Drosophila melanogaster: one gene and its partner. The protein of the gene in region 1 interacts with the protein of each later gene in a pairwise test. Each region holds a gene or a part of one and is shown on either strand. Other genes may lie near its edges. The genes, in order: seq and RecQ4.

Region 1 (5,242 bases):
AGCCGGCATGATAGCCGAACGGAAATGTGATCATGATCTCGCCCGCCTCCTGCGTGATCTGCAAGAGCCGGATTTAGTACGGCCACTATGGACAGGATTACTACCGATAAACGCACCTTACTGACGGGCACGTCATGTTGCTTGAGAATCTGTGGTGAAATCAACGTCATCTTGTGGCGCAAATATGCGTTGCAATTCTTGTAACTGGCCGGAAAGTACTGGTTGGCCACCTTCTCCAATTTGCGACCACACTCCGGCGGCACCACATACCACGTCTTTGGCGCCCCAAAGTGTAAGTAATTGATGGAATAGAGATCCATGTCCTCCGTGTGCCATGCAAAGGTCGTCTTCCACATGCCAAAGTACAAGTAGGCTGTGTTCACGCCGTCTATCTGGATGTTATAATCCTTGTTGACATAGTCAAGAATTGTGCCCAGCCGGTTGATGTTCCAGCTCTGCAACGGCAAAGGCAAAGGCAACGAATCATCAGCTAATGCCCAAACCTAAACCCTAACCCTAACGAACTTACATCCTGGTCTGTGTCTGTGATACTTCCGCTGACATCTGCCCCATAAATGGGCGCCACATATGTTATGTTCTTCCAGTATTTGCGCTCCAGATCCTCAAAGTCAAAGTGTTTGGGTGTGGCGTAACGCTCGGTGCTGGCCAACTCGCTAAACTGCTTAACTGTGAGTGGCTTTTTCTGGATGTTAATCTGCTGGTAGTATCCCTGTTTGCCGGTTACCACCTGGCAAATGGGCGCCGGAATTGTGACATTTAGAGCATCGAGATCGGCGTACCCACTGCGACGGGGCACCCATTCCGGCGGAGGCACCACCTTGGCCAAACCGGCTTTGTGGGCACCCTGGGACTCCATGTAGGCCACGTACTTGGGAAAGTCCTTGAACTCCTCCCAGGTGGGTCGGAAGACCTTGATGCGTGGCACCTCTGACATTTTCATTCTCGTCTCAGTTTTTCTCTTTTTTTTCAATTCCGACCTGTTGTCGGACACTTCTTTCACAGCTAGGGTGCTTCGATCTGGAACTGTGATAGAAGCAGCATTAAAACTCCGTACTCCCGTGCACGGCCCATTAATCCCGGGCAGATGCCATTCATGATCAGCCCGTCTGCCTGCCCCATCGCTAAGCGCTCAGCGATCGGATCGCTTGGGATCGGCATTCTGGCTGGCAGTCACAAAACAAACAGAGAAGGAGCGCTGAGGGAACAGCTGCAACTTTTCGAGGTTTTCTTTTTTTTTTTTAATGGGCGCGGCAGCTACAACAGCAGGCAGGCAGGCAGGACGACTGGCAGGAGAATAGAGGCTGGCAGGATATGCAGTTGCCGTTTCCCCCGCCCCTTTCATTCGAGTGGTTTTCCTCATGGGCCAGCCGGACCCGCAATAACCCATAGGAACCCATAAAAAGTGCAATGATCGTTCGTTTGATAACCTTACTAACTACGAGGAAATGTTGTAAATTAAATAAGTATATCAGATTTCATGCACAACCGGCTGAAAAATTGGGAGTTAAAGGAATAAGCGGTAATATGGAAATTATGTATGTTGCCTGAAAATGGTAAATTCGATTCATTTCTTACCACAAAATTATTTCGATTAAATATTAAATGATTTAGTTATGCTATAAATTACAATTGAATTATGCTGATAATATATCGATGATTGTGATAAATGTAAACAACTTTGCCAAAAAGTTGTAAAATTCAGGTATTCGAAATTTAAAAAACTAATTAAAATTAAAACTCCTATGTAAGTAAACATACGAAATATATTTAAACGATCCCCGCAGGATTAGGATAACTTAAAAAATAATTTTACTAATATTGACGCTTTGTCTTCACACTATCACTTAATTAATAGTTACAATTAGCATACAAAATTATTGAACTAAAATTTATTTAAGACTAGTTCGCAAAACTATTTTGTTTACATTTTATAGATCCCAAATAAAATGATTGATGAGTGTAAAACGTAAAATAAAACAAAAGTACAAGTCATGCGTGATTGAAAAATTTCTCTGTGTGTATTTCTGTATACGATAAGCCTCCCAAAAAAAAACACAATAAATCAAGATGAAGGGGATAATTAATTATTGAGCCCCATGACGAACCGTTATTCCCGCGGCAAGCCATTTATAGGGATTGAAAACGCCCAATAAGCAAATGACACAAATCCGGCGACATCTTTTTCCCAGTCAATACCAATACCAATTGTTTTTCCGTTTGTTTTTCCTATTTTCCGTACAAGCAGACTGAAAGCTCTGCAGGCCAGAGGAACAGCAAGGATAACGATAACGAGGACAACGCTGTGCGAGACATCCCAGAGCACTAGATGAAAATTTACGCAATTTTTCGACCACGTAGAAAACTGTACCACCACCCGAGAATTTCAGAGAGCGAGAAGACCAAAACCGAACGAGAGCGGAGAGCCGACGATGTTGGGGAAGGGGAGGGGTAACGGGATAACTGAGAGGGGGGAGCTGACGAGTGCGCAAAACTATATGCTAGTTAACAAGGAGAGAGCAAATATGGTGGGAAGAGCGAGTGAGCGGGCAGGATATACTCGCTACAGAGGAGATTCGACATGGGCGAGTCGCAATGCAGCGAGTGCGTATGCATGTGTGTATGTGTGTTTACGAATATGTGAGTGTGTTTGTGAAAGGACGAAATTTGGAACTCACTTGTGATGTGCTTTGATGGGTTTTTTTTTTAGTTCTGCTTCTCTAGTTTATTCGGTGTTCTCCATGCGTAAATCCCAACAAAATGTCAAAAGTACTTTTATGACTATATGAGCAACTCCAACTGGATGTGACTAACGTTTTGGATGCTGCTGCGTTGCCTTTGTTTGAAGTGATTTGTAGTTTATTGCACATTATTTTTTGTGTATTTGCATATGAAACTTCTGCTGGCGTTTTAACTAACTGTAACTAATTTGCACAATTTGATGTTTTATACGATACACTTGAGCACTATTTTCTGGGTTTTGCAATTCTTGTAGAATGATTTAGCTTTGGTATTATTTTATGTTATCCTGCAACATCTGATGGCGTCGTTGTTTTGCGTTTTACACAGTCTTCGACTTGATGGCTGCTGCTCTCTCTCTTCGAGGATGTTAATTTATATATATGTATATTAATGTGGATGGCTAACTGGCACTCACGACGGGCGCGACATGTCTGAGCGGTCTGAGTGGCAAGCGTCGACTGAACGCCAGTTCGATGCCAGGACGATGGCGACGCAGGCGTCGAAAGAACTCGCTCTTCGCTCGCACTCGCACTCGCACTCACACACACAGCAAGCACGCAACACAGACACGCTCACGCACACACAGTCGCGCCGCACAAGAGCGTTGTCCTTTTAATGCGAATGCTCTGGTCAAAGCATAATGCGAAAGGAAAATTGGTGTAGAGCAAGAGGGAGACGGCGCAAACAAGTTTGACAGGATAATTGTGGATAGGGAAATGCAAGCCGTGTGGAAAACTGGCAGTTTTAATCGCTCCTCCTTTTTCCTCTATTCATTCGTGGATCGAACAATGCCTTTTTCCTCCTCTTTAGTTTCATTGCGAAAAGCAAATGTGGCGAAAGGAAAAATGCATTCGCCATCGCGAATCGTGAATCCATTCGCACATTCTCTCTCTTTCTCTGCATCTCAGTAAGCAGTCAGAGAAATCGCAAAGGACTTAATCCTCATTATGCATTGTCCTGGCACGGATTTCGGATTTTGGCGAAGATCTAATCTAGGACTTTACTGATCCCGGATCGCCAGTGATCGTTTGTAGGTAAACGACAGATACAGAGGCTAGAGGTTGAGGATCCACTTGAGACGGGTCGCAAGGACTCTCTCACTTGAGACGGCTTCGTGTGTCTCGTACTTAATAATTGCATATTTGTATAATAATTGCAAAACCAACAAATAGCGTTCAGAGCAATGGCTCGTTTGGAATAATTGTTTGTTTACTTTTATGCTAGCCAATTTCAATCTAATGCTTTTTATATAGTGTTTTCGATAGATTTTCCATTTTAAATGTATTACACATTTAAGCTTGATCCTGTGAACTCCGTTTGCAGAATTAGTACCATTTAAATAGAATTATAATTTCCAAGCCGATCGCATTATATCTTTTAAATCATAACGCCCTCAACTATATTTCTCAATAATTTCGTTAATAAGAAAATGTCATATTGTTGCAACTGTTAAGGACATTAATTTCCCCCAAGCGCAAAAGCATAATTTAGTAAATCCCCTATAATGTTCAATTTAATGGCATATGCGCTTAGCGAATACAAATAAGCACATCTGCAACTGCATCGAGCAATTATGTGATAGCGTTTCGATAACAAGGTTTCTTGCATCCTGTGTGCAGAAAACCCATACAAAAACCGACGCAAAATAATAAAACAGGACGGGGAGTGAAGGAGAGGAACAAAAAAAGGAAACCGGGCTGAGTAATTACAGCAGCTTGAAACGGTGAAAGGAATGCCCCGTGGTAGTATAATTTACAACATGTCATTAGCCCGGCGACGCCTATGGGAAAATGGAGCTTGGGGGAGCGGCTAACGGCAGGATCAAAGCGTGACCAGAGCACAAAAGAACGGTCACACTGCTCGGCAGGACTTGAAACGAAAGAAACAAAAAGTGGCGGGGTGTCCAAGGATCCTGTCCTCAAAACTTGTCCAAAGCAACTCAGGCATAACCCACAGAGAGAGAGCAGGAGAGAGATAGAGAGAAACAGAGAGAGGACGAGCGGAAAAGGACGAAAGAGAGAGAGCTTGCAGCCAAGCAGCGAGAATGACCAGGCGGCGGCTTCAACTTCCGGCAGGAATGGCTCACACACACACATACTAACAGTGCAGTTGTGTACACAATGTGGTCATTGACTGAACGGTAAAAAGCGAAAACAGGAACCAACAGCAGTAGCAGCAACAACAACAACAACAACAACAACTGCCGATGACGTCGTCGATGAAGAACACACGGAGAACCGCCATAATGCGCGTCCCCTTTTTCCACATTCCCACCGCGCCCCCCTCCAACACCAAACCACTCCGCCTGTCATTTTATATTCCATTTTACAAACACACACACGCACGCACACACATTCGTCCTGTGCCTCGTGTGATTTCACAAGGCATTTCTCTTCAGCACAATTTCTCACAAAATTTCAATTCGAGCTCGGCTTCGCCTCAGCTGCGACAACAGCTACAAGATTATTTATGCTTTTTTCTA
Region 2 (7,661 bases), on another chromosome or scaffold:
GCTATGGCCAGCACCCGTCAGATGGCCAAGAAGTTTGCATTTTGGTCCACACAGCCAGTCACCAAGCTGGACGAGCAGGTGACCACCAACGAATGCATTGAACCGAACAAGGAAATTAGTGAGATTAGAGCATTGCCATACACTCTGCCAGGCGGCTTCAAATGGGTGACACTAGACCTGAACGACGCCAATGATCTCAAGGAGCTGTACACGCTGCTCAATGAGAACTATGTGGAGGACGATGATGCCATGTTCCGTTTCGATTACCAACCCGAGTTTCTAAAGTGGTCGCTGCAGCCACCTGGCTGGAAACGCGATTGGCATGTTGGCGTTCGTGTGGAGAAGTCCGGCAAACTGGTTGGCTTCATCTCAGCCATTCCCAGCAAGCTGAAGTCGTACGACAAGGTGCTAAAGGTTGTGGACATCAACTTCCTATGCGTCCACAAGAAGTTGCGCAGCAAACGGGTGGCTCCAGTCCTGATTCGGGAGATAACGCGTCGCGTCAATCTGACGGGGATTTTCCAGGCGGCCTATACAGCTGGAGTTGTGTTGCCCACGCCAGTGGCCACCTGTCGCTATTGGCATCGATCGCTCAATCCCAAGAAGCTGGTAGACGTGCGTTTCTCTCATCTCGCACGTAACATGACCATGCAGCGGACAATGAAGCTGTACAAGCTACCCGATCAGCCCAAGACGAAGGGCTATCGCCGAATCACAGCGAAGGACATGGACAAGGCCCACAAGCTGCTGGAGGACTACCTAAAGCGCTTTCAGCTGAGCCCGGTGTTCAGCAAGGAAGAGTTTCGTCATTGGTTTACCCCCAAAGAAGGTATTATCGATTGCTTCGTGGTTGCCGACGAAAAGGGCAACATCACTGATCTGACTAGCTACTACTGCCTGCCATCGTCCGTGATGCACCATCCGGTGCATAAGACGGTTCGTGCCGCATATTCGTTCTATAATGTGTCTACAAAGACCCCGTGGCTGGACCTGATGAACGATGCACTGATCTCGGCCCGCAATGTCCAGATGGACGTGTACAATGCCCTCGACCTCATGGAGAACAAGAAGTACTTTGCACCGCTAAAATTCGGCGCCGGGGATGGAAACCTGCAGTACTACCTCTACAATTGGCGCTGTCCATCGATGCAGCCGGAGGAGATTGCTCTGATACTCATGTAGTCACCTTGTCACCTAAGCTCACATTCTCGCCCTGCCTTTCACAGCTCCCCTCCTCCGCTTTCTTCACCCTGCTGGAAGTGCCGTGCGGCTGCTTTGCTTTGCTCCTATTTACGTAGCTATTACCTGTAATCTTCAGTTATTCCAGCGAGGAAAGCCCTTTGCGAGCATACACCTAAATAGCATCATTGTGAAAATTGCATTTTGCAACGGCCAAGCTTCGATATTTTTTACTACAAGAACGAACACAAATTGTATAAAATGCGCAGCAATATCAATAAAAATGTAACGTTTACTTGGACCTTTATTGCCTATAATTGACAATAAATTATTTTGCTGCTCTTTTAAAGATGACAAGTTTTTATTTTTTTTAAGCAGATTATTGTATTTTTGCCCACTGTCCCAGCATGTGATAGTCTGGCCACTCTGTCACATGGCCATTGGTCTGGCAAGGTCGGTGAAAAAGCGCGCGCTAAGCAAAACAGCTGCACTTGTGTTGGTTTATTAGTTAACGAAATCTGATTCCAATGTTGGTTTCCTCATAATATTGACAATTAAAGACAGCCGCCGACATGGACGATTCGGTGTTCAAGCTAAAATACCAAAAGTACAAGTTGCGCGTCAAGGTGTGGGAGAAGGACTTCAAGAAGAAGAATGGCCGTGTTCCATCGAAGGTGAGATTGGGATGCGGATATGACAAGTATGCTAACTGGTTGACCTGTTGCAGTATGATATAAGGGACGCCAGTCAGGAGATTCGGGACTCATACAAAATGTACTACAAACTGAAGACATCCTTCCTGGAAGAGACGCTGAACGATGTTCTCAGCGAAGATGGATACGATATTCTGGAGATGTCGCAGGCCAGTGATTTCGGTGTGAGCATGCTGGACCAGGACGTCAGTCTTAATGAAGGTCCTCAGCTACCGTTGGATATATCTGCACTGGTGGGGCCGCAGAGCTCTGGTAATCTTGAGGAAATTCCACAATCGGTGGAGGGCTCATTCTCAAATCTCATCGACCTGCCCAATCGTCAAGTACTCACCAATCTGGTCAATCGCGATGAAAACCATGTCATTCGCAAATTCGAGGCGGTGGAGGAGCTGCCAATCAACCAAAATGCCTGGGGCTTGAATGTGAGTAAGAAGCCACCAGCTCCACCACAGCCTGTAGAGGCCTCCAAATCCGCTCCGGGGCACGGAAAGCAACCCAAAGCGGGCGCTAGTCTTAAGCCCAGCTTGAGTGCCAAGTTATTCCAATCCTCACGCGGTTTTGCTAAACGAAATCCCCGAAAGCCGCTTTCACGTTGTGTCAGTTCCTCTAGTTCCACCACATCACTTAGCTCAGTTCCTACTGATCATCACGAGGAACTGCTCGACTTTGAGACCATACTCATACGCAAAGCCCAGGAGTACAAGGAGAAGCAGCAGGCCATAGCTAACAATCCAATGCTGGCCAGTGAGCACAGCAAGGAAAGTATCAAAACACTGGTGGACGACGGCTGGCTCCGGCGAAATACAAAGGAAAACACTCTTGATGAAGAAGTGCCCTTTGCGGAAGCAAATAATAACAGTGGTACGTCCAAGAAAACAAACTTTGGCCTGGCCAATCTTGATTTAAGTAAACTAAAGCCCACTGTTAAGGAGGAAAAAGTGTTGCAGGCCAAGCCCGATCAAATGGCAATCATACAGGAGCTGCAAACAGATATGAATTCTAGCATGAACCAGAAACCAGATCATCTTAATCACACACCTCCTGCATCCAGTCAAAAATCAGTCGCTCCTAAAAATAAACCTCCACCTTCCGAGCAGGAAACCGATTCGGATTCCGACTCTGTTGTGGCTGAGAGTGAAGAAGAGCAGGAACCACAAGAATATCGGCAACTATCAAAACGTCGCAAAATTGTTTCAACAGCATCAGGAAAAGTGGAAGTAGCCGCCCCAGTTGAAATTCCCAACAAAGTCGAACCAGAGACAGAAACATTTGCTCAAGAGAATCCAGATTTCTCTGCAGATGAAGACCAGGATGCTACATATGTACCAGAGAATAAAAAGAAAGATAAGGCAAAGCGCAAGCAAGCCGCCGGAAAACAAAAGACCACTAAGCCCAAAGCGGAACCAAAACCGAAAACAGAAAAGAAAGCCAAAGTCAAGGCCGAAAAGAAACCCAAGGCGGAGAAAAAGCCGAGGAACTCTAAAAAAGCCATCGCTGTCGAGCCGGCTCCTGATCCAGAAGAGGATGAGCGCCAACCATTGAATCCAGAAGATTTGAAATACGTGTTGGCCTTGGAGGCGGGAGATATTACCTCCGTTCCGCGCATTAATGTGCAGGATCTAGAAGAAGCGGATGCTACCGCCCAGCGCTATATTAGAACCTTCGCCGCTGGACCCAACCCAGGATTGTCGGAAGGGTCCAACATTCGAGTGGATGAAAAGAGAGCCGCAGCACGAAAGAAGCTGGAGGAACGCATAGCAGCTGGTAAATTAAACGAGAACTTTGTGACCATAAATATTCAAAAGAAAAAATTCGTGCGTGGCAAAAAGTCCGTGAACTTCAGCAAGTACAAGAAGCAACAGTGGCGGCATAAGAAACGAGTGGCTGCCTTGAGTGGGCCGGACATGGATATGGGTGGCTGTGATGGCGGAGTGCTCACGTGCTTCCAGTGCGGCGGAGTCGGGCATTTCGCTCAGCAGTGCAAGGTGAAGGGAGACAGCTTGTTGCCACTTTCGGCACAGCTGGAAGAGGATCCCTCGCCGTTTCCCACGCTTGCCGAGGCTCAGGAGATGGCCAGTCAGGGAGCAGTGGTGGCACACAGTCGCAACATCTCACGGCTGCCCCAAGCGGCCAATGCAGCCATCCTGCAAGGCGATGAGTTGAACGAGTCAGAGGAAGATGACCAAGAAAGCAGCGGAGATGAGGAGGTACAGCAGCATCCAGATCCAAATTGGTCTAGCGATGAAATGGACGTTGATTTCGAGGCCCTAGATGCGGCCGTCGAAGCTTCCCTAAGCCAACCGGTTTCGCAAGAGAAAGCAGCTTCACCTATTAAGACATACGTCGGCCACAAGATTCCCGAGGAGTTCCTCAAGCAGGCTGGACTGGACACCACAGCCTCTAGTTCGAATCGCAGCCAGCACGGTGGGGTGAAGCCCCTATACGATCTCCTTCCGGATGGCAGTGTCCAGGACACGACGCCAGAGGTCCTAGAGGCACTCCACATGTTCGGGCACACCAACTTCAGGAAAGGTCAAGATCGCGCCATCATGCGCACTCTCTCTGGACTATCATCGCTAGTTACACTTAGCACGGGCAGCGGCAAATCTTTGTGCTACCAATTGCCCGCCTATTTGTATAGCCGGAAAGTGGGAGCTATTACCCTAGTCATCTCACCATTGGTGTCACTTATGGAGGATCAGGTGACCGGGGTGCCGCACTTTCTGCGAGCTCACTGCCTGCACACTAATCAGACCGCGCCGCAGCGTATGAAGATTCAGCAGATGATTGCCAATGGGGAGATTGACATTCTTCTTGTCTCTCCGGAGGCGGTTGTCGCCGGGGAACGAGCCACAGGATTTGGAGCCATTCTTCGCCAGCTGCCGCCCATTGCATTCGCTTGTATTGATGAGGCGCATTGCGTGTCTCAGTGGAGTCACAACTTTCGACCCAGCTACCTAATGATCTGCAAGGTGCTGAGAAAGAATCTCGGTGTACGCACAGTGCTGGGGCTAACAGCCACGGCAACTTTGCCAACGCGTGTTAGCATTATAAATCACCTTGGCATATCGGATGGAGAACGTGGTATTATAAGCGACATCCCACTGCCTGACAATCTAGTGCTGTCCGTCTCCAAGGATGAGAACCGGGATGCAGCTCTGCTCCAACTGCTCAATAGCGAACGGTAAGACTTGGCCCACCATCTTTGAAACTTGAAGGAGACTTAAATACATTTTGATCATTCTAGCTTCGAGCCCTGCCAGTCCATTATTATCTATTGTACGCGTCGTGACGAGTGTGAGCGTATCGCTGGGTTTATTAGAACGTGCGTGCAAGACCGTAGGGAGCCAACTCAGGATCAGACGAAAAAACGTAAACGTGTGAATTGGCAGGCTGAGCCCTATCACGCTGGAATGCCCGCTTCCAGGCGACGAACCGTTCAGAAGGCCTTCATGAGCAATGAGCTGCGCATTGTGGTGGCCACCATTGCCTTTGGTATGGGCATCAATAAGCCGGACATACGCGCGGTAATCCATTATAATATGCCAAGAAACTTTGAGAGCTATGTGCAGGAAATTGGTCGAGCAGGACGCGACGGGTTGCCTTCCCACTGTCACCTCTTCTTGGATGCGAAGGGTGGCGACCAGAGTGAGCTGCGTCGCCATGTGTATTCTAACTCCATTGATCGGCATGTTATCCGTAAGCTGCTGCAAAAGATCTTTGTGCCATGTAGCTGTGACAAGGAGGCTTCCAAGAGGACAGCTCTTCCGATTCCCCTTGAAGGTGATGGTCCTAGAGTGCATATGTGTCCGGGACACGAGATTGGCTTTTCCGTGGAGAAAACCGTTGAGATGCTGGACATCCCGGCGGAGAACATATCTACTTTGCTCTGCTACATGGAGCTTGATCCCCGATGGTGCATCAGTGTGCTCAGCTCAGCATATGTGATGGCTAAGGTAATCTCGTATGGTGGGCCAAAGTACTTGAAGTAAGTCCTTTAGACACGTGTATTGTGTATGTGTTTAATGTTATTGGTTTTTCCTTGCACAGGCATGCTGCAAAGGAATGTCCACCATTGGCCATGGCTATTGCTTTGCAGATTAGAGATAAGACATTCAAGGAGGACTCTAACATCATAGAATTCTCGGTCACAGATATCGCGGCAGGAATTGGCTGGAACAGTGGTGTGGTCAAATACCAACTGAAGGATCTGGAGTGGGTAAAAGGTGAGATGGTAATCCGTTCAAAAAAGGATCCGTTTAATTAGAAATTAATTTTTCGATAGTAAATGGATATCCCAAGCGATCGCCCATCACGGTGAGCTTCTATGATTTGGGATTCCGCATCAAGGTGCCGGGCGATTTTACCGAATCAGAGATCGACAACGCTCTGGACACTCTCTATACGCGATCCGTGAAACAGGAGCGTACGCAGCTCATCCAGCTGCAATATGTGGCCCATGGATTGGCTGCTGTGGCCTACAGCTCTTGTGGCCAGTGCTGCAATGCGGATTTTCCGCAGGATCGGGGCGAGCAGCTAAAGGCTATCGTGCGCAACTACTTTGCCAATGACTACCCACAGGATCTGGAGCTGGAAATAGAGGTAATTGCTTGGCAACACATTTCAATTTCTTACTTTTATTGCTTTCCTCTCTGTCCATTAGCCAAGTAACGTGCCGGATGAGAACATCATAGACGACGTTCATGCTCTAATAAACATGTACCCGGACAATACATTTACCGGACGTAATATTGCGCGCATCTTTCATGGCATCATGAGCCCGAACTATCCGGCTGTCATCTGGGGACGCTGTAAGTTCTGGCGTGCCCACGTCAAAGTGGATTTCAATCGCATCCTGCACCTGGCCAATATGGCTATTATCAAGAGGCGTACGTGACCGTAATGTCGGGATGAACCGCCGATACCATGGTTAACCAATTAATAGCTCCAAGAATTTTAAAAATATGTGATGCCATTCAATAACATTTTACTCGCACAAGTCTGATAATACAAAAATAAATTACAAATTCTATATAAACAGCTTTTGTACTTATTATGAGTGGAAAGAGAAATTCGTACGGACAATCTAAATTTTTAGCTTGGTTTTTAAACTCTCTAAATCTATGTGTTTCATTAGCTAATAAATTTGCACCATACAATCCCACGCCAATGGAACAATAACAATTTATGATAATTTCATTGCCGAAAACAACAGAGCACTAAAATAAAGTAAACAAATGCCAAGCTCGTTTAGAGGCAAATTGCAGCTACGGCTTCAAATGAAACAGCAGAAATCAATTCGATGGAGCCCGTAAAGAAACAAACATCCGGCTGAGTCATTCCCAATAACATCACGAAATGTATAACCCCGGTCGAAGGTGTCATCTTCAAATCGAAGCCTAGCCAAAGGTCGTCCTTCCTCAGTTCACACGAACGCGAAGCAAACAACCCAACAAATGGGGGGATCTAACAACAACTCAGGGCACAGACAACTGGAAACAGAGAAACATCATTGAAGTTGTCGGATCAGCGAAGCGTTTGATAAAGGTTTTTTATGACTTGGCCATTTTGTGAGGCCTTTGGCTTCTCGTGCCGATGTTGTTTATAATCATAAACGAGACTCGAGTACACAAAAGTCGACCCAATTACAACTTGTTTGTTCTGAGAGTGAGACGTCAACGTCATCATCCTCGCTCCATGATCATCCACATTGTGCAGATGGCCAGCGAAGCCATCGAGCAGCAAGCTGACCTTGCCTCCAATTTTACT

Evidence for each region.
Region 2: the proteins of seq (region 1) and RecQ4 interact in a two-hybrid assay, tested with the Drosophila melanogaster proteins (one large-scale study listed by BioGRID).

Annotation. Positions count from the first base shown.
Region 1 is NT_033778.4:13,186,865-13,192,106, forward strand, and holds the start of seq (sequoia), read right to left. Parts: upstream 3,223-5,242; 5' UTR 2,697-3,222; intron 2,390-2,696; exon of another isoform or gene 2,224-2,389; intron 1,045-2,223; exon of another isoform or gene 962-1,044; coding exon of another isoform or gene 530-961; intron 456-529; coding exon of another isoform or gene 117-455; intron 59-116; coding exon of another isoform or gene 1-58. Other genes in the region: Kdm4B (lysine demethylase 4B), read right to left, coding at 1-58, 117-455, 530-961.
Region 2 is NT_037436.4:8,169,947-8,177,607, reverse strand, and holds RecQ4 (RecQ4 helicase), read left to right. Parts: upstream 1-1,629; 5' UTR 1,630-1,751; coding exon 1,752-1,853; intron 1,854-1,906; coding exon 1,907-5,076; intron 5,077-5,139; coding exon 5,140-5,880; intron 5,881-5,942; coding exon 5,943-6,118; intron 6,119-6,177; coding exon 6,178-6,494; intron 6,495-6,555; coding exon 6,556-6,789; 3' UTR 6,790-6,968; downstream 6,969-7,661. Other genes in the region: Nmt (N-myristoyl transferase), read left to right, coding at 1-1,182.